3 linked regions of the Rhinolophus ferrumequinum genome follow. Each later gene encodes a partner of the first gene's protein in a complex. Links are inferred from orthologs where the notes say so. Each region holds a gene or a part of one and is shown on either strand. Other genes may lie near its edges.

The links.
Region 2: the proteins of CAB39 (region 1) and STK11 are in contact, whole or in part, in a crystal structure (PDB 2WTK), measured with the Homo sapiens proteins. The link is inferred for Rhinolophus ferrumequinum from reciprocal best matches to the Homo sapiens genes CAB39 and STK11. Residues at the interface, in NP_001124321.1 of Homo sapiens: Gln109, Gly111, Thr112, Lys196, Leu197, Leu238, Asp239, Arg240, His241, Phe243, Met246, Ile250, Val280, Ala283, Asn284, Pro285, Glu317, Gln318; in NP_000446.1 of Homo sapiens: Gln100, Arg103, Arg104, Glu165, His168, Ser169, Gly171, Leu201, His202, Pro203, Phe204, Ala205, Ala206, Asp207, Asp208, Phe234, Arg301, Ser307, Arg310, Lys311, Lys312.
Region 3: the proteins of CAB39 (region 1) and STRADA are in contact, whole or in part, in a crystal structure (PDB 3GNI), measured with the Homo sapiens proteins. The link is inferred for Rhinolophus ferrumequinum from reciprocal best matches to the Homo sapiens genes CAB39 and STRADA. Residues at the interface, in NP_001124321.1 of Homo sapiens: Leu26, Glu27, Lys28, Gln29, Tyr55, Gly56, Thr57, Asn58, Ala85, Asp86, Gln88, Leu89, Phe92, Glu93, Lys96, Arg107, Glu138, Leu141, Ile145, Ser176, Thr177, Phe178, Asp179, Ser182, Asp183, Glu221, Asn222, Tyr223, Val224, Arg227; in NP_001003787.1 of Homo sapiens: Pro64, Leu104, Glu105, Cys107, Ser108, Asn109, Val112, Gln116, Leu119, His120, Lys123, Leu124, Phe125, Asn126, Thr136, Phe137, Ile138, Asp140, Asn141, Leu143, Tyr185, Met189, His223, Gly224, Arg226, Val426, Asp427, Asp428, Trp429, Glu430.

The regions. Positions count from the first base shown.
Region 1 is NC_046291.1:7,495,368-7,505,561, reverse strand, and holds the start of CAB39 (calcium-binding protein 39), read left to right. Parts: upstream 1-5,736; 5' UTR 5,737-6,101; intron 6,102-10,194. UniProt on the Homo sapiens protein: Component of a complex that binds and activates STK11/LKB1. In the complex, required to stabilize the interaction between CAB39/MO25 (CAB39/MO25alpha or CAB39L/MO25beta) and STK11/LKB1.
Region 2 is NC_046301.1:61,655,848-61,665,515, forward strand, and holds the start of STK11 (serine/threonine-protein kinase STK11), read left to right. Parts: upstream 1-5,222; 5' UTR 5,223-5,473; coding exon 5,474-5,763; intron 5,764-9,668. UniProt on the Homo sapiens protein: Tumor suppressor serine/threonine-protein kinase that controls the activity of AMP-activated protein kinase (AMPK) family members, thereby playing a role in various processes such as cell metabolism, cell polarity, apoptosis and DNA damage response.
Region 3 is NC_046304.1:42,345,727-42,355,462, reverse strand, and holds the start of STRADA (STE20-related kinase adapter protein alpha), read left to right. Parts: upstream 1-5,442; 5' UTR 5,443-5,576; intron 5,577-9,736. UniProt on the Homo sapiens protein: Pseudokinase which, in complex with CAB39/MO25 (CAB39/MO25alpha or CAB39L/MO25beta), binds to and activates STK11/LKB1.

The sequences.
Region 1 (10,194 bases):
GCCCCATTATCTCTTGCCAGAATGAACACAGCCTCCTACTGGTCTCACTACTTCTGATCTGGCTGGCCATCTTTCATCCACTGCACACATAGGATCCGAATGGTGTTTCTAAATCTAAAGTACACATCTGAGCTTGTCACTCCATGCCTTAAAGTTTCAATGCCCACTTCACACCCAACCTACCTGCACTGCCTTCATGTTGAAGCCCAGTTCTTAACATGGATGATGTGGCTTTCATTATTGGACCTTTGCTTATCTCTCCAACCTTATCTGGTGCCAACTCCCCTCTTCAATCCTGCCATGTTGTAACAACATGAATACACCTTGAGGGCATTCTTCCAAGTGAAATTAGTCAGACAGAGAAAGACAAATACTGGATGTTCTCACCTATATGCGGAATCTAAAAGAACTGAACTCAGGCTGGTCTGGTGGCTCAGGTGATTGGAGTGCAGTGCTCCTAGCACCAAGGTCACCGATGTGCCACCGTGAGTGGCCGGAGGCCAGCATGAGTGGCCGGCAGCCGGCGAGAGCTACTGTGGGCTGCTGTGAGCGGCCGACCGACTGCCTCATGGGGGTGGGGGGGACAGCACAAGGCTCAGAACACCAGCGTGGGCCAGGGAGCTGTGTCCTATCCTACACAACTAGACTGAGAAACAACAGCTTGAACTGGAGTTGGGGGGGAGGCAGAAGAAGGGAGGAAAATAAAATAAAAAATAAAAGAACTGAACTCATAGAAATAGAGAGTAGAATGGTGGTTCCCAGGGGCTGCGGGTGAGGGAAATGGGGAGATGTCTAGTCAAAGGGTGCAAACTCCCAGCTAGAAGATAAATAAGGTCTAGGAATCTAATGTACAGCATGGTGACTATAACCAACAATACTGTACTATAGACTTGAATGTTAGTAAGAGAGTAGCTCTTAAATATTATCACCATACACATACACCCAAAATCGTAATTACGTGTGGATATGAAGGTGCTAACTAACCTCACTGCGGTAATCATTTGCCAATACAAACATGTTGCTAATCTTCACATTGTACACCTTAAACGTACATATGTTATATGTCAATAATAGCTCAGTAAAGCTGGAGGTGGGGAGAACTAGCAATAAAAAAAATTCCCCTCCTCAAGCTCCAGCTCTAAGCTCTATAGATTGAACTACTCAAATTCACTGTGTTTTCCAGCTTTTGGCGCTATTGCCATGATTTTCCTTGAACATTTACTCCCATCTTCAACTGGCTAAATCTTACTCATGCTTCATGTCTTACTCTTCTGTAATTGCCTGTTGACTCTCCTGGACTGCAAGCTCATTGAGAGCAGGGACTGTGTGCTGTTCAATGTCTCAGCCAGACTGCTTGTGCCCAGTAATTATGTGCTCTCAATAAGTATTTGTTGAATAAACAAAGATGCAATGAGCTTTAGAGCAGGTTTGGTGGGTTTACAGCTGTGGGAGGAGCAATTAAGCAGGAGAGTTTTAGAGTTCAAGCTTCAAAGGTACAGTAGTGGTGACTGACAGACCAGGGTGGGGCTAAGCAAGTGCTTGTTGACGTGGAGTGGAAGTGAGGATCACTGGGGCAGAGAATATGAGGGAACTATGACCCAACATATTAGACGAGTGGCACTTATGTTGCCCAGGAGAAGTCAGGCACAGGGTAGGGTGGAGAAGGAAGCTGTGAATCATGCGCTAAAGTCCTTTCACAGGTGGTGTGATTGAGGCAGGGAGGTGCCTTCATCCTGTGGCCCAGCTTCAGTGGAGGAGAGGAAGGGAAATGAGAGTGATGGAAGATTTACACAGGACCAACACTAACTCCAGAAAATGATGACCTTGCCTATGACCTTGAGATCAGGAGGGGAAAGTGAGGAGCCTCTGTGGAGAGGGTTTCAAGAAGAGGAGGTGGAGGAAATTCTCAGAAAGAGGTCGTGCCTACAAAGTAACATATGAATAGAATGGGCTTTCCAGAGAGCCCAGGGAAAGGAGGGAGAACGGTGTCTTCCCCAGAGTAAATTCAAGTGGTCAAATGACAGGGGTCCTTATGCTTTGGCTTCAGAATTTGTTCCAGAAATGTCTGCCGTCTTGCTGCTACAATTCTCAGCTATAATGGGCTGGTTTATCCCAGTTAAGAGATTCATCTGGAATCCAGTTCAGACCCTTATAGCAAAGGAATCAAAACCTTGCATATGAGATTATCCACCCCCATGCGTTCTTTTAGTCTGTGGGAAATTGGGTCTTGACTTATTTTTGTGGGATGTCAGCACAATAAAGGTCTCCCTTTGGGACTACAATGAAAAAGAACTCTCTCATCTTAAAAAAAAAAAAAAAGCTGTGGGGTTAAAGTCCTTACTGAACAAAGTTTCAAAATTAGATAAAACTTGTTGTAGTCTGCTCACTCAAAAGGGCCCAGCACCTCCCTTCCGCGGTCACTAAAGAGTCTTTGCTTTTCGGGAACCAGCTTGCTCAGGACTTTTCGTCAGCTGATTTCTCTCTGGGCCTAGACAGACACTAGACAGCTATGGCTCTTCTAACAGCTTCTAATATGCTTGATAAATTGTCCATGGTGGGACAGACTTGACCTTTAAAATGCTGCTATTTTACTTATATTCAAACTTTTTATTTTGGTTTTCCCTATATATTCACCAGCAAGATTGCTGTAGTTTTCTTTTTTTGGGGGTCGCATTTATCGAGGTTTTGCTATCAAGACTACAACCAGAAGAAGAATAATCAGCACCCTCCCACCCTCATCTCCAAACTTGTTAGAAATGCAGAATAACGGGCTCCCCTCCCCCAGACCAATGAAACCACTGTCTGCATTTCAACATGCTCCCCGGTAATGCACACCGACATTAGAGTTTGAGAAGCTGCCCCAAGCCTTGTTATTTACTGAAAACTGCTCCTGTCCTAATTTCAGTATAAGCAGCCTGGCTCTCCAGCCAGCAGATCCTTCATCCTAGCTCACTCTGTTTACTGTGCTAGTTCCAACAATCCTTTCACCCATCATACCACTTTTACAGGGTTTCTCCCCTTTCACTGCCCCCACCTCCGCCCCCCATTTCCTCACGGCCTCCAGTCTGGCTTGGATTCAACAGTTGGCCATTATTATTATTACTTCCTTGCATATACCCTCTCCTTCCTTTGTCCTTTCTTGCTCCATGGAGTTACCTAACAAAAATAGCCCTGGTTGAATCCAGCTCCCCACCTTCCTGCGCCTGCACCTTCCCAACAAAATGTGAGCCCTGTTGACTGGTCCTTCTTTACACCTTCTCCTCTTCCCTCAAATTTCCGACAGCTCCTCCCCCTCCACACTCTGAGCTGATGACCTTGCTTCCCATTTCCCTGAGAAAATAGAAACCCTCAGAAGGGAACAGACACCTGTTCCAGCTCCTCGTCCATCGGGCTCTCTGCCTCTGAGCCCACAATCTGCCTGCCCTCTGTCCCTGTGAGTGAAGGCCGTCCTGCTGGTGTCAAGGCCAGACCCTCTGTTGTTCCCTGCAACCTTCTCTTCTTGCTCACTCAAGGACAGCTCTCCAGAAAATGTGGCCCCTCCCATCAAATTTTCCCTCACTACTTGAATCACTCCCATCAGCACTTAAGCCAGCTGTAATAGCTTCCATCCTAAAAGCGAAAATGAAAAAGAGAAATAAAACAACAACAAAAAAATCTGTTTGACTCCATATTCTCCTTCACCTACCATCAAATTTCTTTCCTCCTCTTTAGAATAAAACTTCATGGAAAAGTTGTTTATACTCATAGTCTCTCTCTTCCTAGAGCCCCATTCTTTCTAGACATCTTTCTGGGTCTCACATTCTTTCCAAAGACCACTCCAATCAGGCTTTTCCACCCACCCCTGCTGAAACAGCTCTTACCAAGGCCACTAGTTACCTCTATGACACTGCCATCAATGACCAGTCACCAACACCAACCTTACTTCAACTATTAGTCAAAATCAGTGGCATTGATCCGTCCTCCACCCCTTGGTCTTCCAGTACATACAGTCTCCTGGGTCTCCTCCTCCCGCCACCCTAGCTCCTCTCCTCAGAATCCTTTGCTGGTTCCTTGCCATCTCCCTGACCTCAGCATTGGCACCTCAGGCTCATCCTTGGCTTTGCCCTTTATTAACACTCACTCCCTAAATGATTTCATTGAGTGTTGAGATTTTACTTACTCTGAGGACTCCCAAAATTCTTTCTCCAGGTATGGACGTCTCATCCATACCCTGACTTCTATATCCAGCTTCCTACTTGGATGTCTTGGATGTCTAGCAAGTAGTTCAGAATTAATATGCCCCCAAATATATTCCAGAGTTCCTCCCTTCACATCTGCTTCTCTTTAAGTCGTCCCCATTTCACCAAATTGTATCTTCCAGTTGCTTGAGAAAAACAAACAAACAAACAAACAAACAAAAAAACCCTTAGAAATCAGCAAAATCCTGTCAGCTCTACCTTTTAAAAGTGTCTAGAACCCAACCACTTCCTTACCCCTCCCAGCTACCATGCTGGACCTGTCTTCTGTGCACTGGATTATTTCAAAAGCTTTCTAACAGGATGGCTGACACCCTGACATCCTTCAGGCTGGTCTTCACACAACCAGAGCGATCCTTTTGAAATGTCAGACCACATCCTTTCTCTGCTCAACACTCTTCAAATAGCTTCTCATCTCATTCAGACTAAAAACCCAAGTTCTCCTTTCAGTCTGTAGGGTTTCCACCCTCTACTGTTTCTGCCCTCTTCCCTCCCTCAGGAGTCTGGCCTTGCCGGGCTCCTGGGCTCCCAGCTCCCAGCGGTGGTCCTTGCTGTTCCCTCTGCCATCCCAAGCATCCCACATAGTTCACCTCATGCTCTTCATGTAGCTGTTCCCTGTAGGAGAGCTATAAATAGTCATACCCTGCCCTCTCTCCCCTCCTTGGCCTATGTTGTTTTTCTCCATAGCACTGAAAACCATCCAAGGTCATGCTTGTGCTGGTTTATTTGTTTATTGTTTGTCTCGGGAGCATGGACTGTGTTGTTCACTGCCCTACCCCTTAAAATAGTGCCTGACACACAGTAGATGCTCGAAAATACCTGTTCAATTACAAATTAAAAACAAACAAAGCAACAGAAACAAAAATACACATGGATGATATTTTTATGTACCAGATTCTGCTCTGCTCTCTGGGCTTTGGAATTCATTTTCTCGCTCGTCCTCATAAGCCTATGGTCCTGTATTACACTTTTGTGCGCGCGTTGATGTGAAGAAACCCAGGTATAGGGACAGGAAACGGCCCGTGGGGACTAAATGAGTGGAGCTGGGGTTTAAATCCGCTGTTGAATGCTATTAATCTGGATCATTCCATCACTTTCCACGCTCTCTCTCAGAGGATGCTAAAATGAGAATGATCTGTCCCACGCAAGTATGACAGATTGGGTCTACACAAAGTTGGCCCTTCGTCTTGAGCAGAAATAAAGCTTTGTTAAGAGTTGAGGAAGTGGTCGTAGAAAATGGACGTGAGATTCCTCCAGGAAGCGTGCTTAGACAGACTAGAAGGGGGCTGAGCACCCACATTTAAGTGGCAGATGAAAGAAAAGGAACTCCTCTCCTCGGCTTCTGCTTTTCTGTGTCCCCTCCCTTTTCGTCCTCCGCGCGCACACCGGCGCCCTGAGTCCTCCCGGACGCCCGGGGGCGCCCGAGGCCAAAGGGGGCGTTGCGGCGCCGCCCGACGTCGCGCCCTGGGAGGCTGCGCAGTGCGCACGTCAAAGCCGGGCTCGGGCCGGGAGCGGGGAGCGGCGCGGCCTGGGAGAGACCGAGAGTCGGGGAACCGGGGGTAGGCGAAGGCAAAGGCGGCGCCGGGTCCTGCAGCAGCCGCAGCCGCAGCCGCAGCCGCAACCCGGGCGATCGAGCGCAGCAGTGCGGCGGCCGCCGCGGGAGCCTTTGGGCCGCCGTCCGCCCGCGCAGCCGCCGCCGCCGCCGCGGGAGCCCGTCGCCGGGAGTCGAAGCAGGCGGAAGACAACGGAGGGGCCGAGCACCGGAGCCGCGCCGCGGGGACCCAGCGAGCAGCCCGACGCGGCGGCGGCCGAGGACGGGGACGGCGACGACGCGGAGGCGGAGAGGGAGCCGCTCGGCCCAGCCCCGTGAGTGACCCCCGGCCCTGCCCAGCTCGCGGCGCGGACGCCGGCCCGGCTTCCGCCTGCCCTGCCCCGGCCCGTCACCGGCCCCGGGGCTGCCTCCATTTTCTCGGGTGGCCGCGGCGGCCCGACCCGGGCCAGCTCAGGCCCCTCGCGGAGGCTTGCCCTTTTGCTCTCGCCCGCGCGGCGCCCGGGGGCCTGCGGCCGGGGTCTGGGAGCCCCGGGCTCTCCTGCCACCCCTCTGCCGTTCTCCGGCGGGGCTGGCGGCTCGGGGCGTCCCCGGCCGGAGTACGGAGGGCAAAGAAGTGCGGGCCGGCTCAGCTGTCACTCCCACCGCACACGGGCTCCGGCCACCTCGCTCCTGGCCCCTGGTAAACTTTCTGTTATCTGGAGGCAGGTAGCATCTCTGTGATGTCCCTTTCGGGAAAATGCCTAACTGATTTCTGGTTAGGAATTGTGCGGCCAGAGCGTTCCCGAGTTCGGTTGAAACAGCCTGAGCGCTGACTGCGTGCAGGCGCCGTGGTCGGTCCGCACCGGAGGGATTCAAAGGTGAACCCGGGGCCGCGGTCGCCTCCCCCAAGGAGTTTAAGCTCTGGTATGGGAGATAAGACTAGTACACAGATAACACGATACCTGGAAGGAGACGATAAGTCCAGTGAAAGAACTACAAGGTGCTAGAAAGGAACCCAGGGAAGACTGGACCGATTGATCGATCACTTCCGCTTAGCAGAAATCTGGAAGGCTTCCTGGGCGAGGCGGTGCCTAAGGCGGTTTTGAAGACTCGAAAGGATTTGTGAGAGGAGGGCTGCAGAAGAGACGGTATGTGGAGGGGCAGCAGAGCTAGAGGACAAAGGTAAAAAGGCATAGGCTAGAAATAGTGGATAACTCAGTTTGTTGCTTAGGCCCATGGTGGGAAGTGGGGGTGGGCTGAAGAGGTATTTGGGGGCCAGATCCTTGAATGCTAGAAAGGAGCTGTTTAAGGGAAACCTAGAACTCATTTCTCAGTGACTCATGAGCCCGGAAATGTAAGCTAGTCGGGATATTGAAGGCGCTGCTGTGAAAGAAAGGAGAGGAGGAGGCCCAGTACAGAGTTGACATTCTGTGTCTTGAATATAATGCAGTTTGAGATCGATTTTGACAGCTTCCGGGATATTCAAATGAATCCATGTCCAGGCCAAGCAAAGAACCTTTTGCAAAAAGCTTCCTTAGATGTCAGGCTCTTGGAGGTAATGGAAAGATGTGTTTAAAATAAGCTCGTCTGCACATAAGGCATTTCTGTTGGTGCAGTTCACTAAACTGCATCAAAACTTCTTGCACTGTGTGTTAGGTGTCTAAACTTTGGAATTACTCAGCTGAACATAATTTACCTCTTTGAGATGGCATTTATGTAAAGCAATCTAAATTGATGATTTTCAAAATCAAATTGTTACTAATATTCTGAGATAGAAAGTGACATAGAACCTTTTTATGGAAAGGTTCATTTTTTTAAATTAATTTTTAGTAATGAAAATCGTTATAGGAGAACCAGGAGCAAAAGTCTTTAGTTTTATTTTGTACATTTAAGAAATTACTAGGAAGTAATTGGCAGCTGTATTTGAAGTCCTAAACATACGATCTGTGGAAGCAGCTTAGAACCTGTGTTGGTTTTGTAAGCACTTACTTCTTTGTTTGCTTATATGATAAATGAATGTCAATTGTTTTGAGTTTTAAAAAAAGCAGTTGTAAAATGCAGGAAGTACTGGAAAATTTTTAAAAATTATCTTCTGTAATCTTACCACTTATATTTGGTTACTGTTAACATTTTTGCATATTTCCTTTTCAGCGTTATATTTTTTCTTTACATAATGAACTAAACTACATATAACTCTTATTAAGCATTTTTGTCATTAAATATCTTCGTATAAAAATATTTTCCCCCAAGTAAGGGAAGTCTTAAATTTTTTTTCTGACAAGGTTGTATTATTTATGTCAGATAAAATGTAGTAGTCATGCTTAATAACTGCTCCTGTGGACAGTTTTTCCTAAAGACTTCTTGTTTGAAGTATAGTTATTCACTTCTTTGTACAATTTAGATTCTATTGCTTGTTTATTACTTGGGCTGCATCTTGCCAGCAGGTAGGAAAGAGGTCTGACACATCTCTGCTATATGAGTGGATGTACTTTTCTAAAAGGCATTAAAAAGGATTACTTTCGTAGCTGGTATATCTCCCATACACTAATGCACCTCCATTCCTACCTCCCCATGCCCCACCCCCCAAAGTATTCTTTGAATGAGGGCTGTCCACATAGGCTACTACTTTTGATTATGACATTACAAAGATTCAGGCTAAATGCATGTAGTTTTCTATTGGCATTTCTCTAGTAAATATAGAATTTGTCATGAAATAATTTTGCTGCTAGAAATAATTTGCTGCTGTAACAAAAGGGACTTTGGTTTTTTTATTTCAAGGCACTTCACTTTATTTCATTTCAGACTGCAGGTTCTTTAAACCAGTTTTTCCCCTTGTGCTTTACATTCTAAAATATATTAATGAGGTCTCTTCCTGTTTCTAATGGCATATAAAATGAGATGCTGAGCTAAACTATAAATTTTCATAAAGTCAACATAAAAGAATAGCTGAGAAAGTCCAGTTTAAGAATGGGGTTTGGTTTTATAATTTGGTTTTATTTTAATCTTTATTTGTATATTACAAATGTTTATTTTGAATATTTACTAAAGTTTTTTCTTTTGATCAATTTTTGTAGGTTATAGATTTCTGTAATTACTACTGTACTTCCCAAGAGCCTTTTTTCAAGGAGGGGTTGATCACTGATAATTCAGTTTTACCATCTTCCATAAAAATACAGACACAAATCCAAATTGTCCCCCACCTGATTCCAACAGCACGCAAAAATAAAATCCAATATTATATGGTAGAACTTCATTTTAGGTAGTATATTCTGGTTACCTTTCTGGTGGTGTTTTTATTTTAAAAATCCATTTTGTTTTCCATGGCTTCTTTTAATTAGGAATTTGATTCTATGAATGTTGTCTGCTGTTACAGAAATAGGAGTGTCATAGGTGGATTAATATGGAAAATGGCAAAATGTTGATAAAACTTTTTGGAGTGGTAAGATTATGAGGAAGACGATCAGATCTCGGAACCTCTGGGTTAGATTGCTTGTGACTTGTTTTGTTGTTTAATTATTGAAGTGTAAAGATCTTGTATTCGTGTGAATGCATATCAAACCACGCAGCCTAAAAGTTGCGTAACAATTTAGTCATCAGTCTATATTTTGTTTTTTTATTGGAGAGAAGGCTGGTATTGGAGCCATCCTTAATTAAAGAAGGAATGGAGCTACTCTACTATGTGAGAGTTCTTCCTCTGTGTGTCTCACCACTTTAATGACTGTTCAGCTGGACCCGAGTCACTACCTTTATCAGTCAGAGTATGGGGGTGGAGCAAGGTGAGACAAGTATTTCTACTACCACCAGCATTTGTAGAAGAGACTAGTCGGAGTAAATGCCAAAATGTGTGTTCTGCTTCTGTTTCTCGGGGCTTCCCAGGATTGTGAGGAGGAGTTCCTGAAGGACCGGGCGGCGAATGACGGACTGATGGTAATGACGAGTGACAGCCTGTTGCCATCAACTTTCGTTTTTTGAGGGGAGGGTGTAGGTTTGGGTGTGTGTCCCTTCCATGTGCCATTTCTGCCTCACTGAGCTTCCTGGCCCCACTGTGCTTTTACTTGAGATAGAAGGGGTGCAGTGAAGGCAGAATTGCGGTTTATTAGCAACTGTGACGCTAAACTGGCAGAGGAAGGGAGAATGGCATGCAGGGAATTACAAGAGGCCAGTCGGGTGTGAAGTGGCCCAAAGGAGGGAGGTAAAGCCCGCCCTGGCCGTTTATGTCGGCACGTTTATGTTCAGCACGTGCTGTTCGCCTAATCCTCCACACGTTGTGTCGAACGTGAGATTTTCATACTGAGAATGCAGTATTTAAGTTGTTGGGTTGTGTTTGCTTGTTTATGTGTATGTATGCGTTTTCATTTGCATAGTTATGAAGATGAGAAAATCTAGCTAACCAACGTTCAGTGGCAGTTTGGTTTTATATTATAATTA
Region 2 (9,668 bases), on another chromosome or scaffold:
GCCTGCCTGGGTGGGTTTGATGCTTGCTACGAACCCTGTGTTGGCAGGACAGACAGCTGGGCAGCCCTAAGGCCTGCATCGCCCTGAGCAGATGGTGCTGGAGTCCTTACAGGGTTCCTGGGGGCTCCCAGGCTAGGCACTCAGGTATGAATCCCCGTGCCACTGTGAGCCGGTGGTTTCCCCTCTGCAAGTCTCAGTCTGCTCACCTACGATGGGGGCGCAGGCGGGGGGACTTTTGAATGTTCTAAAGTGACTCCATCACCCCAAAAAGCAGCCTGTCCCCATCAGCAGTCACTCCCCATCCCCCCTCCCAGCTCTTGGCAACCACTAACCCACTTACGGTCTCTGATGTGCCTGCTGGGGATGCTTCACGTAAATGGAACCGCACTGAGCATCGTGTTCCAGGTGCATCCACGTTACGGCGAGGGGCACGGCCTCACTGTCATGGCCACGTGACACGCCAGTGTGTGGGCCAGACTGTGTGTCCATTACCTGTGGATGGACACTCGCATTGTTTCCACTTTTTGGCTGCTGTGAATCCTGCTGCTGTATCTGTGGACAAGTCCTTGTGTGGACATGAAATTGTTGGGCCATACAGAAACACTGTGTTTAACCTTTGGACTGTTTAGCAACGTAGCCACATCTTTTCTACACAGGTTCTGGTTTCTCCACATTTTTGTCAATAGTTCTTATTGTCCGTTTTTTTTTTTTTTAAATCACAGCCATCCTAGTGGGTATGAAGTTAAATAATTTATTTCTTTTAATCTAACATACCCAAAATTATGTCATTTCAACATGAAATCAGTGTAAATTACTGTGTTTTTTCATAGTCATTAATGATATATTGATAAATACATTTTTTTTCATGATAAGCCTTTGAAACCCAATGTATAGTTTATAGCGCATCTCAGTTTGGGCAGCCATATTACAGGAGCTTAATAGATATATGTGGCCAATGGCTGTTGTACTGGAAGGCACAACTCTCATTGCTGAGGGTGCAGTAGTGACTAAGAGAGTCCCAGTCCCAGCCCCAGCCCCAGCCCCAGAGAGCTCCCCGTCTAGTGCCAGAAACAGAAGAAAAATGGGTTAAAAAAAAAAGATTATATATATATATATATATATATATATATATATATATAAATGAGACAATATCTGATGGTGACAAGGCAAGGATTAAGAAGAAAATCAGCCTAGAAAGGGCCTATGTTCCAGGGGGTGACCAGGATTGCTTCTTGGAAGAGAAGAATGGCCACCTGCATTGGCCACCTGATAGTTCCCAAGTCCCTTCCACATGTTCTACATATCAGGAGAGGATTGTGGGCTCTGTGAAGGAGAGTGGGGCCCCCAGATGCCAAGAAGTTTGGGCATAAGCCAGCAATCAAGAAAAAAAAACCACCAAAAGTAATTTGGGTTGGGCAGGGTTCCCTCCTTTACTGTTTTCTCGGAGAGATTGTTTAGAACTGATGTTACTTCTTCCTGAAATATTTGGTGGAAATTTCCCAATGAGACCATCTGAGCCTTATTTGTGTTGAAGGACTCCTTGTGGTTAACTGGGCCCAGATTCATAACCAGAGTCAAGCAGCCATTGTTTACAGGGGCTTCTCACCCAGGCTGCATGTTTGCTGTTAGAGAAAATCCACAGACTGGGCTGCCAGCCTCCTGCACTGTGCTCCTGCAGGGCGAGTCAACCCTTCCTTACAAGAGAGCTCCTAGGATGGAAGTTTGACCATTAGGACTCAGACTTACACTGTGCAGCTCTATCCCTTTTTGCATCTTAACTGACCAATCAGAATGGTACTATTTGGATCAAACTGCCGATTTGGAGTTTTTATTTGCATAGAAATGAGCCAATCAGTGACTAGGGGTGGGAAGGTCTCACTGTATTAAGTCAGACTCTTGCACTTCTGAGGAGTGCATTCTCAGTTTCTACTAAAGATTGCTTTCTCAGTTGGCTGGGAGACCTTTTATTGAGGATTGTCTTTGTTGAAAGGTTTTTCACTGCAGATTTAATTTCTTTGGTAGATATAAGACTATCCTGTTTCCCCCAAAAGTAAGACCTAGCTAGACAATCAGCTCTAATGTGTCTTTTGGAGCAAAAATTAATATAAGACCTGGTCTTATTTTACTATAAGACCTGGTCTTATCTAACATAACATAAGACTGGGTCTTACATTAATTTTTGCTCCAAAAGATGCATTAGAGCTGATTATCCGGCTAGGTCTTATTTTCGGTGAAACACGGTATGCAGACAATTTGTTCTTCTTAAAGTCTTCATTTTAATGTCTTTCAAGGTGTTAGTCCATTTCAAGTAGGATGTTGAATTTATGGATGTAGAGCTGTCCCTAGTATTTAATCCTTTTAATATCTGCAAGGTCTGTGGTGACGATATCCTTTCTTTCATTCCTGGCATCAGTCATCTTTTTTTCTTGGCCAATCTAGCTAGAGTTTTGTAAAAGTTTTTGGATCTTCTCAAAGAACAAGTTTTGGTTTCATTGATTTTCCCTATTCTTTTTCTATTTCCTCGGTTTCTGTTCTGTTCTTTATGATTTCCTTCTCTAAAGGAGTTTTAGGCTGATGCACGTATTTTGATTGGGGCTTGCTGATAAGCTGGTGCAGCTTGTGCTCCTACTATTCCCAAAACCACGCTAGTCCCCCTTATGTGGGTCATTCCGGAATCTGATGTAACTCAACAGATTGACCCATCCCCAACAACATGCACAGGAGACACTCAATTTTTCAGTTTTACGGAGTTCACAGCTCATGGACTCAGAACCCCCTGCCTGGGGTTCTGGAACCCAAATCCGATGTGTCCGCTTCCAGTGTTTTTCACTTTTTGACTATTGTGAATCAGGAGCTTCACACAAGACAGTTTGTTCTGGCAAAATAATCTATTGCTAAAAAGCAGAAAGGTAGAAAATACGGGCCTGGAACAAGGGAGGTATTTTAAACTTCAAGGTGTATTCTGTGAACTTTTTGTTTTTCACCCAAACCACTGTGGGGACAGAGCCAGGAGTGCAGTTTCCAGGCTCTCGGCCTTATGTGGAAAGGTGCTCACTCGGGTAGTAAATGCCCATCAACTGTGATTGGATGGCCATCAGCTGTGGCTAGTTGGCCGTCAGTTGTAACCAGTGAGCCATTGGCCACTAATATAACTGCCGTGGCTATGCTAGCAGAAAATGGGGGCTAGCAAGAAGATGGTGGCTGAGCTAGCGAGAGCGGCTTGCAGTTAGCACGGCGGATTGCAGGTAGCAAGTGAGATTGGTTGGCGCAGAGGTGATCGGCAGGTTGCAGATAGTGTGGCTCCTGCTTCCTGTGTTTCCAACCCAGCCTCCAGCGAGAATATAGTGGGTATGACTCCCCTATTTATGGCTCCGTGGGTGTTCCTTTTTGTCCATAGCATGTCCTGCGTTCGTATGTGGGGAGTGGGACCAGAGATCCTGCATGACACGCTGCATGACAGCACTTTGCTGGGACAGCCCCAGCTCTGTTCTGTTTTCATCTGTGGGGACGAAGCCCCGGAGAGTAGTTTCCAGGCTCTCGGCCTCACGGCCTCACGTGGAGGGGTGCTGGCTCGGGTAGTAGATGGCCCTTGGCTGTGGCTAGTTGGCCGTCAGCTGTAGCCGGTTAGCCGATTGGCCACTAATATAACTGCCACGGCTGGGGAGTGGGAGTTGGTTGGTTGGCAGAAAAGCGGACAGCAGGTCACATGTCCTGTGAATCCAGCCTCCAGTGAGACTATAGTGGTGTGACTCCCCTATCTATGGTTCCATGGGTGTTCCTTTTTGGCCATACCATGTCCTGCGTTCTTATGTGGGGAGCGGGAGCAGAGACCCCCCCACAGGCCGCCCTAGACATCATCCGAGTTCCTTTAGGGTAGACACAGTCAAGCGCACCTCCCTTTCACTCCTGCCCCACAGATGCTTAATCAAGGCTTTTTGCCTTGAATTGGCCATTGGGGGCTACTTTCTGACCCTTGACCTCAACTCAAGGCGGGGTGTCTGCGGAGAGAGGGCCCGAGCAGGCATCCTGCTGGGTCCCCCGAGGACTGCACCCACCCCACAGCTGTTCGGAGGAGGCCGATGGCGCTCGCAACCTCCGACCCCAGGCCCAAACCCCTCCGAGGTCAACTCCACAACCTCACCGCTCCACGCCCGCGGCCCGCCCCATGACGGGCGCCTCCGTGGGCTAATGGACGAGCCATATCCACCCCTGGGGCGGGGCCGAGTGCGAACCAATCCCCGCTCGAGCTCCCGCCCGGGTCCAAACGGGCCAATCGAAGGAGGCGGTGGGGTGAGGGTTGGGGGCGGGGCATGTCCGTTCCGCCAACGGGCGGGCACGTCAGCACCGCGAGGGGTGGGCCCGCAGCGGTGTGCGGCGGCGCGGCGGCTCAGGGCGGGGGCGGGAGGTAAACAAGATGGCGACGGCATGTCGGGCGCGGAAGGGGGAGGCGGACCGGGGCGCCCGCGAGTGAGGCGGGGGCGCGGGCTGCAGCGGCGGCGGGGCCGGGCGGCACCGTAGCCGCTTTGCATGGGCTGGGCCCCCACGCCGCCCCGCCTGCTCCACGCGTGCGGCGGCCGCGGCGGGGGACACGCCGCCCGGGCCCCGGCGGCCTCGGGAACCTCCGGCCCGGGGCCTACGACCTGCGCCTTCTCGGGCGCCCGGAGCCTCGTGTGGTCCCCGCGCTCCGAGGGCCGCGGCCGACGGCGTTCGGGGCGGAGAGCGAGCGCAGGCTGCCGTTTGGGGCGGAGAGCGCTCGCCGGGCCCGCGCAACCGCTCGGGGGTCCCAGGCCGGATCCTACGGAAGTTGCTCCCTGTGCCGGGAGGGCCCCGGGAGGCCCCCGGGCGGCCCCCGGACCACCCAACGCGCGCCCGGGGCCGGCGGTAGCGGACCGAGCCGTATAGGCTCCTGCCGCTTCTCGGGACGCCCAGGACGGCCGGGCTGCCGCGAGACGCCCTGGTCCCCAGCGAAGCTCGTCTGTCCAGCTTTGGGGGCCCCGGGGCCGGCCGGCCGCGGCGGGGCTCCGGGCGCGCGCTGTGGCCCGCCGGTAATGGACGGCCCGGAGAAGACTTGGCTCGGCCGCGTCCGTGTTTGTCCGAGGGTCTAAAGTCCCTGGAGGATGACCTAGCACTTCGCAGCCCCACCGGCCTCTCCAGGGCCCCCGTGGACGCGCCGGCCCTACCTGGAGCTGCCAGGCCGGGTGGCACCCAAACTTGTGACGCTCCTCACCGTCGGGTGCCTGGGGCCCGGACCAGGCACGCCTCTTGAACTTACGTTTAGTACAATCGTTTCTTTTTGAAGAAGGGTTTTCTTTTCTCTTTTTTTTCTTTTGCGTTTTTGTTGACTTTTTTTAGCGAAGGGAATTTTTTTTGTGGGGGGGGGGGCGGGGGACAAAAAGAAGAATCTCTCACGGGGGAATCCATAAAGGGGGATAAGGGACCGCCGGCAGTGGGAGTCAGAGGCCTTGGGTCCAGGATGGATGTGGCAGACCCGCAGCAGCTGGGCATGTTTACAGAGGGCGAGCTGATGTCGGTGGGTATGGACACGTTCATCCACCGTATCGACTCCACCGAGGTCATCTACCAGCCCCGCCGCAAGCGGGCCAAGCTCATTGGCAAGTACCTGATGGGGGACCTGTTGGGGGAAGGGTCCTACGGCAAAGTTAAGGAGGTGCTGGACTCAGAGACGCTGTGCAGGAGAGCCGTCAAAATCCTGAAGAAGAAGAAGTTGCGGAGGATCCCCAATGGGGAGGCCAACGTGAAGAAGTAAGTTTGGGCTTCCTGCCTCGGGGCACCAGGGTCACCCCCTTTCCTTCCTTCCCTCCCTCCGTCTTTCCTTCTCCCTTCTTGCCCTCCCCTCTCTCCCTCCCTCCTCCATTCCTTCTTTCCTTAAAAACCTGAGCTGACCAGCCGCCTCTTGTGTCCTCCTTGCCAGGGAAAGTGTCGTTGGAAACCTGCTTAAGTACTTTCATAAAGTCAGCTAGCTGGTTGCTGCTGGGCGTTGGTGCTTTTGGGCTCTTGGGCGCCAGTGTCAAAGCCCTCCTCAGCAGGAGTATGTCCCTCTCCCCCCTCGTCCTCCCAGCTTTGCCAAAGCACTTAGGTGTCTGGTGGAACCAGCCAGTGCTTGTTTGGCCCTGAGTTTCTGCACGGAAACGGCCTTGGCGGCCAGCAGGTTTTCCGCGCAGCGAGCAGCCGGTACTAGCGCCAGGCCAAACGCGATTTGTTTATCCTGTTGGAGGGGAACCCTGGGGTTGCCAAAAATAATTGTTTGCACCGGCTTATCAGTCAGCAGTGGGGGACTTAGCTCGTTCCCCGCCGGCCTGGGATATGATAGTAGACGTTAGTGACTGCAGGCCCAGTGACTCCCAGAGGGGAATTGCTTGTGTCTTGGTGAACTTTCTACACAAATTTCTTCATGAACCGTCTGCCCCTAGGCATCCTGGCCGTGCTGGGATGTGCGCATAGGAGTCCCTCAAGGGCGGCCCTGCCTCCTTCCTCTAGCTGGTCTCAGGACAGGGGCACCATTGCTTATCACTGCGTGATAGGGAGTATCCTGCCGACCCCAGACTCTTCGCAGCCTCCACATTCCCAGAAGGGGTTTATCTAACGGGCTAGGTGGCAGGACTGACTCTGACCTTGGCTGGTTCCCACGCCCGTTCTGTAAGTGCCACTCACCGGCTCTGCTTTCATCCCCTCCTTCTCACCCAGTAAGCCAGCGGAGCTGTTTTCACTGGCTCTGGGACAGCCTGGGGGAGGTGAAATGGGTCATGGAGCAGAGAACTGGGGCCGAACTGACAGGGCTTCTGGTCAGTGTCTGTACTGAGAGCAGCCTGCAGGTGGGCATGTGGGCTGGGCAGCGGGCAAGGTGGGCCCGTGTTTTGATGAGGCCTTTTTATAGCCCAGCCTGTGGACACTGGGAGGTGTGGCCCGTATCCTAGGACCAGTTGGTCAGTTCTCTCTCTGCGCAAGCGTCTGTGAGGTGGGCTTTGGGCAGTGTCCTGGGGGAGACTGAGGCCTTGAACGACTGAGCCCTCCTGAGGGCCAAGTGAGCCTCACCCTCAAGTTAGAAACCCCCACTGGACTGCTGGCCTCTGCGTCAGGTTTTCTCATTAAGCCAGAAGCGCATGGGGACAATGTGGCCCTTAAGCTGCCAGGTTGCCACAGCTTTGGGTTGAGGGCAGTGAGCTCCTACATCCAGAATGTTGCCCCCCTCTGGAAATGAACCCCCCACCTCCCGCTCTCCAGGGCAGCCCTTGTTCTTCTGGCCTGGAGAACAGTGCCCATTCCTCTTGGGCTTCATCCCGCATCTGTCCTGGAATGGGCACTGGTCCATCGATGTGTTCTGGTGCAGACCACTGATGCCGTGCACCCCAGGCCCCTCAGGAGCAGCACCCGGAGGTAGGAGGGATTCCAGCACCAATTGATCTAATTAGTCACCCAAGCCCACCCTGCTGCCTATTGCAGGGGTGCCTCAGGGTGTAGACCCGACCAGGGCACCGACTGGTGGCAGCAGGGTTGAGCAGGTCCCAGAAAGGTCCGCAGACCCCAGCTGCCATGGGGGCAGTGTCGGAGTGGGCGAGGGTCCCCCTTGCTAAGATGTAAGGACGCAGTTTACACGTGCCAAGGTCAAGTTCGAGGGTGTTTCACCGTCAAGAACTTCCCTCCTGCTCTACTGGAGACACAAATGACTGGAACCTGGCTGGAAGGCTGCAGAATGGCTGGTGTCCAGCTTCTGTTTTCCTCAGGGGTCAGCCGAGATCCCAAGAACCTCAGGAGACGTGGGTGTGTGGTGTCAGGGCTGCATGCAGCTGGGTCCCTCAGTGTCCATGGGAAGAACTGGAGGAGAAACTGAGGCCAGGGAGGCCAGTGGTTTGTGGTCTGCAGCCAACTAGACAGCATAAGGTGTCAGGCGCAGTGCACCGTGCCAGCACGCAGTTTCATCAGTGCAGTGCAGGCCCCGAGCTGTCCTGTCCACTGGTGGCAGCTGCGATCTTGCTTAAGCCCCTGCCACGTTGTACCAAGTCCCTACTTGGTGATGCAGTGGGCCTGCCTCGTATGGGCCTGTGGTGCCCAGGGGAAGGGAAGGGGTGTATAGGCTGCAGGGGGAAAAGGCTCCTTTGTCTGCCAGAGGTTGAATAGACTCCACTTCCAGTCATCTCTCCTATTGGACTGTCCGGAACCTTCCGGACAAGCTGGCCTCCAGTTTGGATCAGAGCTTTTTTTTTTTTTTTTTTTTGGGAGGGGGGAAGGGGAACAGGACTTTATTGGGGAACAATGTGTGTACTTCTAGGACTTTCAAGTCAAGTGGTTGTCCTTTCAATCTTAGTTGTGGAGGGCGCAGCTCAGCTCCAGGTCCAGGTCCAGTTGCCGTTGTTAGTTGCAGGGGGCACAGCCCCACCATCCCTTGTGGGAGTCAAACCGGCAACCTTGTGGTTGAGAGCCCACTGGCCCATGTGGGAATCGAACCGGCAGTCTTCGGAGTTAGGAGCACGGAGCTCCAACCGCCTGAGCCCCTGGGCCGGCTCCAGCTTTTTCTGAAATAACGTTTGCCCAGGTGCTGGGCCAGGTTGGAATGCCCCTCCTTTCATGGGGCTTCCTCCAGGAAGGCACCTGTCCCTTCTCATTTGTTCTTCCAAAAAGCATTAGGATGTTTAAAAAAAAAAAAAAAATCATAATTTTAATGTCAACACATCTTCCATTTTCATTTGTGTTTTCTTACCCTATCCAAGGACTTTTTAATGCAAAGTGTAACTCTCCTAAGGATCACTTTTTAAAAATAAGTTGTATTTACTTCTCTTTCCATTAGGCAGTAGAACTGCACAGATGAGGCTCATAAAAGGCGTCTGCAGGGTTGCCCCCGCTCCCTCTTATCTGGGGGCAGCAGGGTTTCCTGCAGGTAGAGACAGTTCCATACCTGGTGGGCTCACTCTGGGGGACAGGCAGTGAGTGGGTCCAGCCCTGCAGGTTATAGGATAGCCTCCAGGACAGCTGCACAGACGCTGCACCTCGATTCCACTTCTAGCAAGTTGCCAGAAGTGGAGTTTCTGGGTCAGGGAGCATGCATGTATTTGATAAGCTGCTGCAGACCGCTGGTCCCCCAGCCTATCCAGCCTGGCGTCCATGGCAGCTCAGTGTCAACCTCTTCTCTGTTGAGTATCGTTTCTGGTGAGTGCCTGCCGTCCGTGTCTGGGAAATGACGTAGTATGATGTGCTTAGCCACCTGGGCTGTCCCTTCCCCTTGGGTGGTCTGCCCCCTGTGTGGCCAGGTCCTTGGCAAGGGGTGGTGGCTCTGCGAATGGACACACCGGTGTCCAGGCTGGGTCAAGCAAGGCCGAGACCACCTTCCGCTGATTGGCAGATACTTGGTGCTGAATGGTTGGAATTTTAGCACGTCAAGAATCGGAGCCCTGGATTTTGTCAGCTCTCATTCCCATCCTGAGTGGCCTGCCCCCCTCACTATTGGGTAGGATTCTGCTGTGAGGCCAGACTAGCTGGCTGCCAGAGGTGACAGCAAGAGGGCACGCTTGTCCACCCTGGCTTACCCCCACTGAGTGTCCTGGCGGCCTCCCTGTTTGCCAGGTCCTTCCCTGACAGGGGGGAAGTCTGCAACGTGGTGGGAGCATGGGGCACTGGACCAGGGCTCGTGTACAGTGTGGCTTCTCGTCCATGAG
Region 3 (9,736 bases), on another chromosome or scaffold:
GGTTATGGATACATTGAAAGGACTCTGTTTCAGTCATTTTCTTCCAGATAATCAAATTATTTTGATTATTTTATGAAAGGAATGCTGTATGAACTCTGTAGTTTTAAAATATTTTTAAAATTATAACGAATCATCACTGCTTTTAGTGCTATGATATTTGAAGAAATATCATGAATTTATAGACACACAATTAGATCGTTGCTTTTTGTTTAAAATGGCAGTTTGAAATAGCAGTTGAAATGGCTATAGAGAATGCCTCTAAACCAAGATTCCACAAATAACTGTTGGAATTGCACAATAAACATTGCTTGGTGTTTTCTTCTGTGTCTACATTAAGCTTGTAAAAAAGTTAAATTTAGAACACTATCTGTGGTGTTGAAATTTCAGGGACTCAAAACAATGTAGTTCAGTGTATGTTTTGTAGGTGGCGGTGCTGATGACAGTATTATAGGATATCTGTAGACTTTAAGATGCTTACATGTATGTGGAAAATTTTAGGGATAGTTAGTACAGGAGCACAGTTTTCTCCTTACGTGATATAAGCTAATGACATCGTGAATGCTGTATTTTAAGTGATTGTATGTTTTTCTTGAGTAACAAGTGCATGAAAAATTAACTGCTTCAACCAGAGCAGATCAGTGGTCTGTGTGAAGTCACAAATGTTTTCCTTCTTGGTCGCTGCAACCTGTCGGATGTTCCTGGAGAGCCTCTATTCTCTGTGTTATGGCTGTGTCTCTTTGCTTCTCCTTCTGCTTTGATCTCTTCCACAGCTGAGGCTGGGTATATTCTTTCAAAGAAATAGCCATGAATATGCATAAGGATACTTTTAAAAATGAGCTTTCCTAAACTTTGGAGAGTTCTTTCTGCCTCTTGAGGGAGGAACTCTTGGGAGAGAGGCCCATCTATCTGCACAAGCATTTAGCTTGTTCAGATCTCTGCATTTTATAAATGCTTCCTTCTAAGAAAGCATTTTTTTAAGTCACTGCTTGTACCAGGTAATTTTGGGTGGGATGGGAAATGGTTGGGTTTTTTGGTGGGAGAGGGGTGGGCGGGTATTTTTTTGTGGACGCTTTTATGTGCAGGTGTGTCTGAGGCAATACCAAGCTGCTGTGGAAACAGCATGTGCTGCTGCCTTTGTAACTGCATGGAAACTTCACGTGGGGTTTTCTCTGGGTTAATGCAGAAATGTGTAAACTGGGAGATGCAAATGTAATATTTTTTTTTAACAGTTCATGAAATTAAGTTATTAAAATAATAAAAATAACATAAAATGTAATGCTATATAATTCTAGAATTAGCCTTGTTTTACAAACCTTTAAAGTACATTATAGAAATCACAATTGATAGGCTAAGTTATCTTTTGATGAAAGCTTTCTTAAAGTCCCACACATTTGGACCATGGCAGCTAATTTTGTAATGTAAGCATTCATATGCACTACCTATGGACATACATTAAACTCATTGACAAAAATCTCAGAGTGCCGCCTTTACTTTTCTGGGGTTTCCCTACAAGAGTATAAGCCCATAGGGATGTTCTTTCTAGTCAGTAAAAGTCACTGGAATGCTTTTCCTTCAAAAGAGTTGGCCTTGACAACAATCCCTTAATTCCCGGTTATTTTTTTAATGTTTTGTAGTTTTAAAGCCCTAGGTGTTATTAATGGGGTCCTCCCCGAAGTCCCCGTCTTGAGTTAAGACACCATTATCTCCTCTCCTATGAACGAGACGGCAAAGAGAGGAGAATGTTGTTGACTTGTCTGTCACATTGGGAAACCATTCAGCCCTCCAATCTTGTCTGCACTGCCTGGGCACAGCAGTGCCAAAGCAAGCACGGGACTGGAAGACAAAGGCCTGGCTTTTACTGCCACCAAAACCTATAACTAATCCTTTGACTTTGGACAAGTCACTGACTAACTTTTGAGTTTCTGTTCTGTTCTTCCTTTTACAAAGTGAGCATAATAATTATTTTCTCTCCCTAACAGGAGATAATAAATGTAAAATTCTCTAATAAATTACAGCATTTTTATCTAGAACTATTTTCCAAGTGGTGCACTTTTGCTTTACTCTGCTTTCCTTTCTCCCAATAGAAACCAAACAGATCCTTTTAGAGTTCTCTTTATCTGCAAAATTTGACAGGGTTGGTTTGTTTTGTTTAGTTTTGTTTGTGGTTTTTCTTTTTCCGTGGTGGGGGTAATAGTTTACAGTTCTGTTTCCTTACTCATAGAACCTTTTCCTGTCAAGTACCAGATGTGAAACTGTTTTCTTTAGATGGGACTTACACCAAAGAAAAACATTGATTTTTCTTTCTCATTCCACTCATCCAATAGTAATTGGCAATGTAAAAATTATTTAAAGCAGTGTCTACAAGAATCTGTTTTGATGGGGGTGGTGGTGAAATACTGTACTTTTATCGTGCTGGATTCTCTCTTCTTACTGTTCCTGCCTCCACTCATTTTGAATGATTTGAATGGGTGTAAGAGATGAGAAACAGTTATCCCTATAGCATAACTGTTGGTGATCAAAGATTTATTCGCATTTGGAAGTAAGTGTAAGGTTTTTATCTTTGCACAGTTGAATGTCATTTTCTCAGTTCTATGAACTGAGAAGTAATACCAATTTCAGGGGAAGCTAATTTTTTTTTTCCTGAAAGGGAGAAACTTGTGTCTATTACTACATCACTTTTAATGGATATTATTTTTTATTTCCATTTTTAAAAATTAACTGACCTCTGATTTCATCTATTTGGTTTTATCCAAATAGTGTAGCTTTATTTGTTTAAAAGATACCAGGCCTTTTTAAGTATTTACTTCTGTGGGAGTTATTTGGAAATCAGATAATATTACATCTGTCTAGGTTATTTATTGTGTCACCTTTGCTTGAGGGAGAACTCTTAAGTGCCTTCCTGTCACATTTTCAACTTAAATACTAAATAGCTCTTTCTTCTGCTTCTTTTTCCTGCATGTAACTGTATCACTTAGTAAGGTTGTAGCAAAGCTAGAATTGAAGCCAGTTTTCCACTTCAGGAAAGAGCCCTGGATTTATTGGCAGGAACCTGGAAGCTGTCATAGTGCTTTAACAAGTCTGTTTCCTCATCTAAATGAGCATTACCTACTCTCCCCTTTCTAAAATGCTGTTCCGAGGATCATATTAGATAACATGTATAAAGTGCTTTGACATATAAAATGCTGTGCAAATTAATCCTGCTAAACTTGTTAAACTACACATCATAAGCATTCCACTTGTGTGTTCTAGGCAATTAGTTTTACCTTTCATACAGTTATGTGGTATCTTGAAGAGGGCAGTGCCCTTAGTTTAAACTGGATGCTCAAAGAGTTACAAACAAAACAGGATCATCAGTCCATATCCACTCCTCTAGGCTTCAAGCCAGTTTCAGAATGCTCCAGAAATCTTGGGAGAGCCCCAACCCTTATTATAAGTAGGTGAAAAGCATCAGAGGGCTTGTGCATCGCAGGGATCATAATTCAAAAGCAAAACAGGAAAAGATTGACTGTAAATACTGCAAGTTGACCTTTTATAACGCCGGTTTTCTAAGTTTTCTGGACTTAGTCGGCCCTGGAAAACTAAACTTAATGGAAATTTGCTCCTTGAAACTGTCAGAACAGAATCTGGGTCAAAAGGTTCGCTATGTCGACGAAGAAACCCCCTGCCTAAGAGAAAGCTTGTAGGAGTTTGTTTGAGCCAAACCGATGACAATTGCTGGGAAGCGAAATCTCAAGGGATTAAGAAAATGCTCTGCAAAGGGGCGGTTTGCAGCTTATTTTATACATAGAATCAAAAGAGGAGGGTTACATGAAATCCATTAGTGGTAGATTAAGGGTGTGGGAGAAAGCAAAGCAGGGAAATCTCTGGGATTGGATAAAAGTAAATTGGAGAGACAGGTACCTCTTTTACATAGGAATTTTTTATGTTCACCCCATCTTATGTGGTTATTTTCAGTCTCCTGAGCTTGTCAGGTTTAACCTGTGGCCCCTTTTCCATCCTCATCTAACTAAGCTTTTGTAGGCAGTCATGAAGATGGTGAGATCTTTCAACCCCTTTGGTAGACTGATACCCAGCTAGAAAATAACATAGCTACTGGGCTATGAGAACAGATGGGAAGTACCTCCATGTTTAAAATTACTCATTGTGGTGGCTGCATCAAGTTTGGCGTCTTTGCAGGCACTGACTTCTCTAGTACCCCCAACTCCAAAGACCACATGGGAAGAAGGTTTTTCCAAAAGAACATCACCAACAATTTTACTTCAATTTCTGCTATCTTGTTTTGTCAATTTACGAAGTTTGCTGCTGAGAGAGGCATTGTATTTTGAGGATGAGAGAATAGTAAGAGTAGTGCTTTGGAATGTTAAACCACTAGATAAGATCAAAGTGATGTATATAAAATTGAATGAGACCTTGAGGTGCAAATCGGTTTACTGGCAAAGTTCATATTCAGTCTCAAAGTCACATTTCTGTCCCTGTTTAGATGTAACTGAACTCCCCCACCTTGGAAGTTAGACCAGTATAAATCTGTGTCAAGGGTCAGAACTAGGAAGAGCTTGATGGTATATATCCAATTTTGGAACTACCTCCTCCATGGGCTAAGTAAGTCAAGTGAATAAAAGGCAACTTCACAGAAGGGAGTCTTGCTCCATCACTTGATTGCTTCATCATTTCTCAAGCGCTGCCTGCCTTGGCTTAGGCTAGCTTTCCCATCAAGGCAAACCTTACAGGTTTCTGCAAACAAAACATGAGTTGCAAATGAGGAGTGATCCAGAAACGAAAAGATCCAGAAGGATAAAAATGATAGTTACCATTGATTGAGCTATTTTCTTCCTTTTACAGAGAAGTAACCTGAAGCAGAGAGAAGGTGAGTTTCCCCTTAGCACTTGTCAGTTTGGTGCCGGAGAGGCCAAAGTGAGGGGCTTTTGAGATGTATTCAATGAAAAGAGCGCGATAGGTTTTTTTCCCATTGAAGTCCTACCACACGAAATGAAAATAAAATCCTCAAAGTAGCCAAGTCAGCAGCCAGTGTTGGCTAGCCTTACTCTAGTCCCCTTGACTCTTCATGATCGAAATCATCTACTTCCTTCCTGCTGCGGGGGCGAAGGCTCTGGGGAGTCCTTTCCGAAGCCTGCAGTGCTCACCCACAAACTAGGTCTTTGGCTTCCACACACTTGGGGAAACGGGTCCCTTCTGTGGGAAACGGAATGCCTCTGGTACGCGCTGCGCGGAATAAGAACTCAACACCCGGAGAACGGCAACTCCGCGCTGTCGCTGCTGGGTGCCCGCGGCAACCGAAGCGACGGGAAAATCAGACGGAGCTTCCCCAACAGAGAGGGCCGGGAGGGCCGGGGCGGAGCTTCCCCATCAGGGCGGGGCGGGGCGGGGCGGGGCGGAGCTTCCTCACCCTCGCCGGGGCGGGGCGGAACTCTCCTCCAGCTCTCCCGGGGTCCCTCTAACTGCGCATGGCACGTTGCGTACCCCCCCCCCCCCAGCAACCGGCCGGGCTGCGGCGAGGATATAAACTGAGGAGGCGGAGCTGAGACGGGGTCGGGACTTCGTGCTAACTCCAGGACCAGGTACCGGACTGGCGGGGCCGCCTGCTGCGCTCCAGGGATCAGTCCCTCCTCTCCCTGACGCCGATTTCATCTCCTCGGGGCGGGCCTTCCTCGTCAGAGCGGCCATCCCGGCTCTCCCCCCTCGCCCTCCACGGCCCCCTTTTCACGCGAGTCCTCGATTCCCGCAATGAGGGGTTGCAGCCGGAAAGCAGAATAGGCTTGGGCCTGGCGGGGAGACCCAAGAGCGGAGTTGCTAGGCGGGAGAGGCAAGCTCCTGCTTTCCCGCCCCTTCTCCCCCACCACCCCCCAACTTCCAGGTGGCGTACCTGAGGCCCAGGTGTCAGTTTGTCCTGCTGTAGCGAAGAGGCGGCACCTCCCAGTGCTTACTTCCCGCCCCCTTCCCATTCCCATTCCATCCCAGGCTGGACAGGCAGCGGGTCAAGCCCCCTTAAGGACAGAAACCTAGGTGACTCCGTGAATCAGACACAACAAAGAGCTCCTAACTGTCTTGTTTTCCAAGAATGTTTAAGTGCCCACAGATTTGGGGAGGAGATGGCGGGGGGCGGGGGGTGTTGAGGGTAGGGAAGTGAACACGGGGGAAGGGGAGTGGTTAAATAAAATTGTTCAAGTTTTCAGGAGATGGGGAACTAACTTACTTGTCTAGCCTTCTGCTCAGATACCTTTTCATTTCCCAACTTGACTTCCCCCAAAAAGGATAAGCCTTTCGAATTGCTCCTTCTATTATCGTAGAATCCGTTCAAGTAGAACCATATTCCAGTACCTATTTGCAGCATAAGACAATTCTTCATTGACTGAATCATACTTTCTAGAGAAACCCAAGACTGTTTTCTTGTCCCTGAGAGTAGTAGAAACCAAATCTCACCTGATTACTTGTCTCAGGCCAGGAGCTATTCAGCCATTGCTATGGACCCAAAAGCTCGCCTTCCCGCCTGCTGATTTTCTCTCACCCTTCTCTCCTTCAGTGAATTTCCGTCACTTGTATTGTTTTAGCTGCTAACTCCCAGCCCATAGCCATCTCTAACCTCTCTCTCCAGCATCAGTCTTAACTTTTCTAACTGAATGCTATGTATATATTTCCACTTGGAACATATAATTGTTTTCTCAACTGCGATATGATTTAAAACTTCAAGCTCATCTTTCCACCAAAACCACTTCCACCTCTGAGCTTTCCTGTTTTGTGGTTGACACACTCTTCTTTTCCCAGTTACTTGGAGACAAAACACACACACACACACATTGGAGTCATCAGAGCTGATGATAAGGTAGTGAGTTGGAGAAGGTAGTGTCTGGTATGGGACATTTTCAAGCAGACTAGAGAACCTTATATCCAGGAGTTTGTAAACGCTTTTCCTCTAAAGGGTGGAGGATGGGCTAGAGATTTACTGTGTCCTTACTAACGAAACAAAATTTCTTTGTTTTTTTCTCCCCCATCCATCTGTTTCTTAACATTCTTTCTGCCACAGGCTCTTATCACCAAAAATATGGTTCCACTCTAATTGTATTCTAATTGGCATTCCTTTCTCTGGGTTATTTCCACGTCTCCTCCCATCCCTTTGCAAATTAATACTCCTTCTGTGTTCCTTAGAACAGGGCTTCTGAAATGTTAGTCAATATGATGGTCCACAGATCAGCAGCATTGCCATAATCTGGGAGCTTGTTAGAAGCACCAGGCCCCACTTGAGACCTTCTGAATCAAAATGCATTTTAACAAGATGCTCAAGTGATTTGCATGCACGATAAAGTTTGAGAGACACTACCTTATACCACTGTTTTGTGTTTGTCCCCTGTTCAAAACCTACAGTGGCTTTCTGTTGCCTGCTGAATAAAATCCATACTTGAGCATGCATTTAAGACCGGTTCATTGCTCTCATACATGTGGAGTTCTGCTTCTGTAACTGCTTCATGTTAACTGGAAAATATATGCAAAATGCTGACACACTCCTCAGCACTTTCGGTCAGCCATTCAATATTACTCTGTACCTACTATGTCGTAGGCACTATTCTAGAAACGGAGACACACCTGTGGAGCAGACAAAGTAAGCACTAAATTATCAGTGGCTAATACTATTTCCTGCTTGGAAATCCCATTCTAAGTCCTGTTTGACATTCGAGCCCCACCCCTTCATGAACCTATCCAGGTCCACCCATTACAGTAATCTTCCCCTTCACTGAACTCCATAAGGAGTTGCCCATTCGTGCTTGTGTATCTCCAGACCTGCCGAATTAAAATTTTTGAAGGTGGGGAGTTCAGGTATCCATAGGTTTTTAGAACTACACAAGTTAATTTGACACACATCCTGGTTTTGGAACCAGTGGTTCAGATCATTAATGAAGCTGTAGATGTGGCCGCCTAGAGCCAGTTCTTAGGTCTCTCCAAATGGGCAGTTACAGTAGTTTATGCAGTGTTTTGCAATTGGCTTTACTTTCTATTTCCAATATTTTCCCAGAGCATAGACAATTCTTTCTGTAGATAAAATTCATCTCTCGTCTACATTAATAGTCTCTCTCTCTTGTAGACTACATATGGATATGGACCTTGTTTCCCCTTAAATTTCTTTTGCATATTATTAAACAGTGTATATTCTACTTTTTTTTTTTTCCAAATTCAATCTATATTTTTACTATTTCATGGCAGGATACATGATTCTCAACACGGTGGGCAGGAGGCTTCTCTGAATTTCTCTGAAGCAGTTCTAAGGATTCCTAGAACTCGATGTACCAAATTAAGTCCCACCCCCATTGCTATATCACTACCATAACTCCTCACAAGCACACCTCAAAAAAAAGGGAAATATGGCAGGTTTTCTTTCTAGATTCTTCAAAAGCATTTCTGAGTACTTATTTCAGTCATTTTACTTTTTAAATCAACTTTATTGAGATACAATTTACCTACAATAAAATACACCTATCTTAAGTGTAGTTTGTTGCGTTTTGCCAGATAGAGTCATGCAACCACGACCCAGTTAAGATATGGAATATTTCTCTCGCCCCTGAAAGTTCTCATCTCTTTGAAGTTGGTCCCTCGTCTCACCCTTGATCCCAGGCAACCAATGATCTTTCTGTCACAACATTTAACTTTTTCTAGAATTTCATGTAAATGGAAACAATATGTAGATTTGTGTGACTTCTTTCATTTAATGTGATATTGTTGCATCTACCGTGTTTCCCTGAAAATAAGACCGCGTCTTATATTAAATTTTGCTCGAAAAGACACATGAGGGCTTATGTTCAGGGGATGTCATCTTGAGAAATCATGCTAGGGCTTATTTTCTGGTTATGTCTTATTTTCGGGGAAACACAGTAGCAGTAGTTTGTTCCTTTTTATCACTGAGTAGTGTTCCACTGGTGTATATACCACATTTTGTTTATACACTTACCAGTTGGTAGACATTTATTTGTATCGTTTCCAATTTTGGGCTATTGTGAATAATGCTATCATGAACATTTATGTACAAGTCTATGTGAACATATGTTTTCTTTTTTTTTTTTTTGAATTACCTAGGAGTAGCACTGTTGGGTCATAAACGATTAAACTATTTTAACATTCCCACCAGCAGTGTGTGAGAGTTCCAGTTGATTGATATCCTTGGCAACACTTGGTATTGCTACATGGCAAACCAAGGAAATGAAAAAAGGAGGCAGTTATTAACTTTTGGGAAAAAATGGGTGTAGAGAAAGAAGACATGGTCATCTTTACCTATTGGCTCAGCTACGAAGCATGTTTGCATAGTCAAAGTAATGTAAATGTGGATTATTGATTTAACCAAAAATTACGCCAGAACTATGTTGAAGGCAGGAAGGCAGAGTGCAGGCAGGTGACGCAGGGGCGCTTAGTCGTCATCTACCAGGGTAGGAAGTTAGTAGATGAATGTCTAAAATGAATAAGTCATGGCCATATGAACATTATTTAAGAATGGTGATAAAAAGGTTAAACAGCCAAGAGAATTGAAGGTAATTGCTTCTGGGAAAGGGTCAGTGGGGGGTTGGGCCAACAGAAATTTAAAAATTAAAGAAGAAAACCATATAATAATAAACTTTTCTTACAGAGATTGCAGTATTTCAGAATGTACTTGGCCTAAGTACCTCTATGTTTATTGTCAAGGAAAGTTTCTCTAAACAAATCTTTAGTATCGAGCCCTTTTTAGGTTTAGTACGGTGCT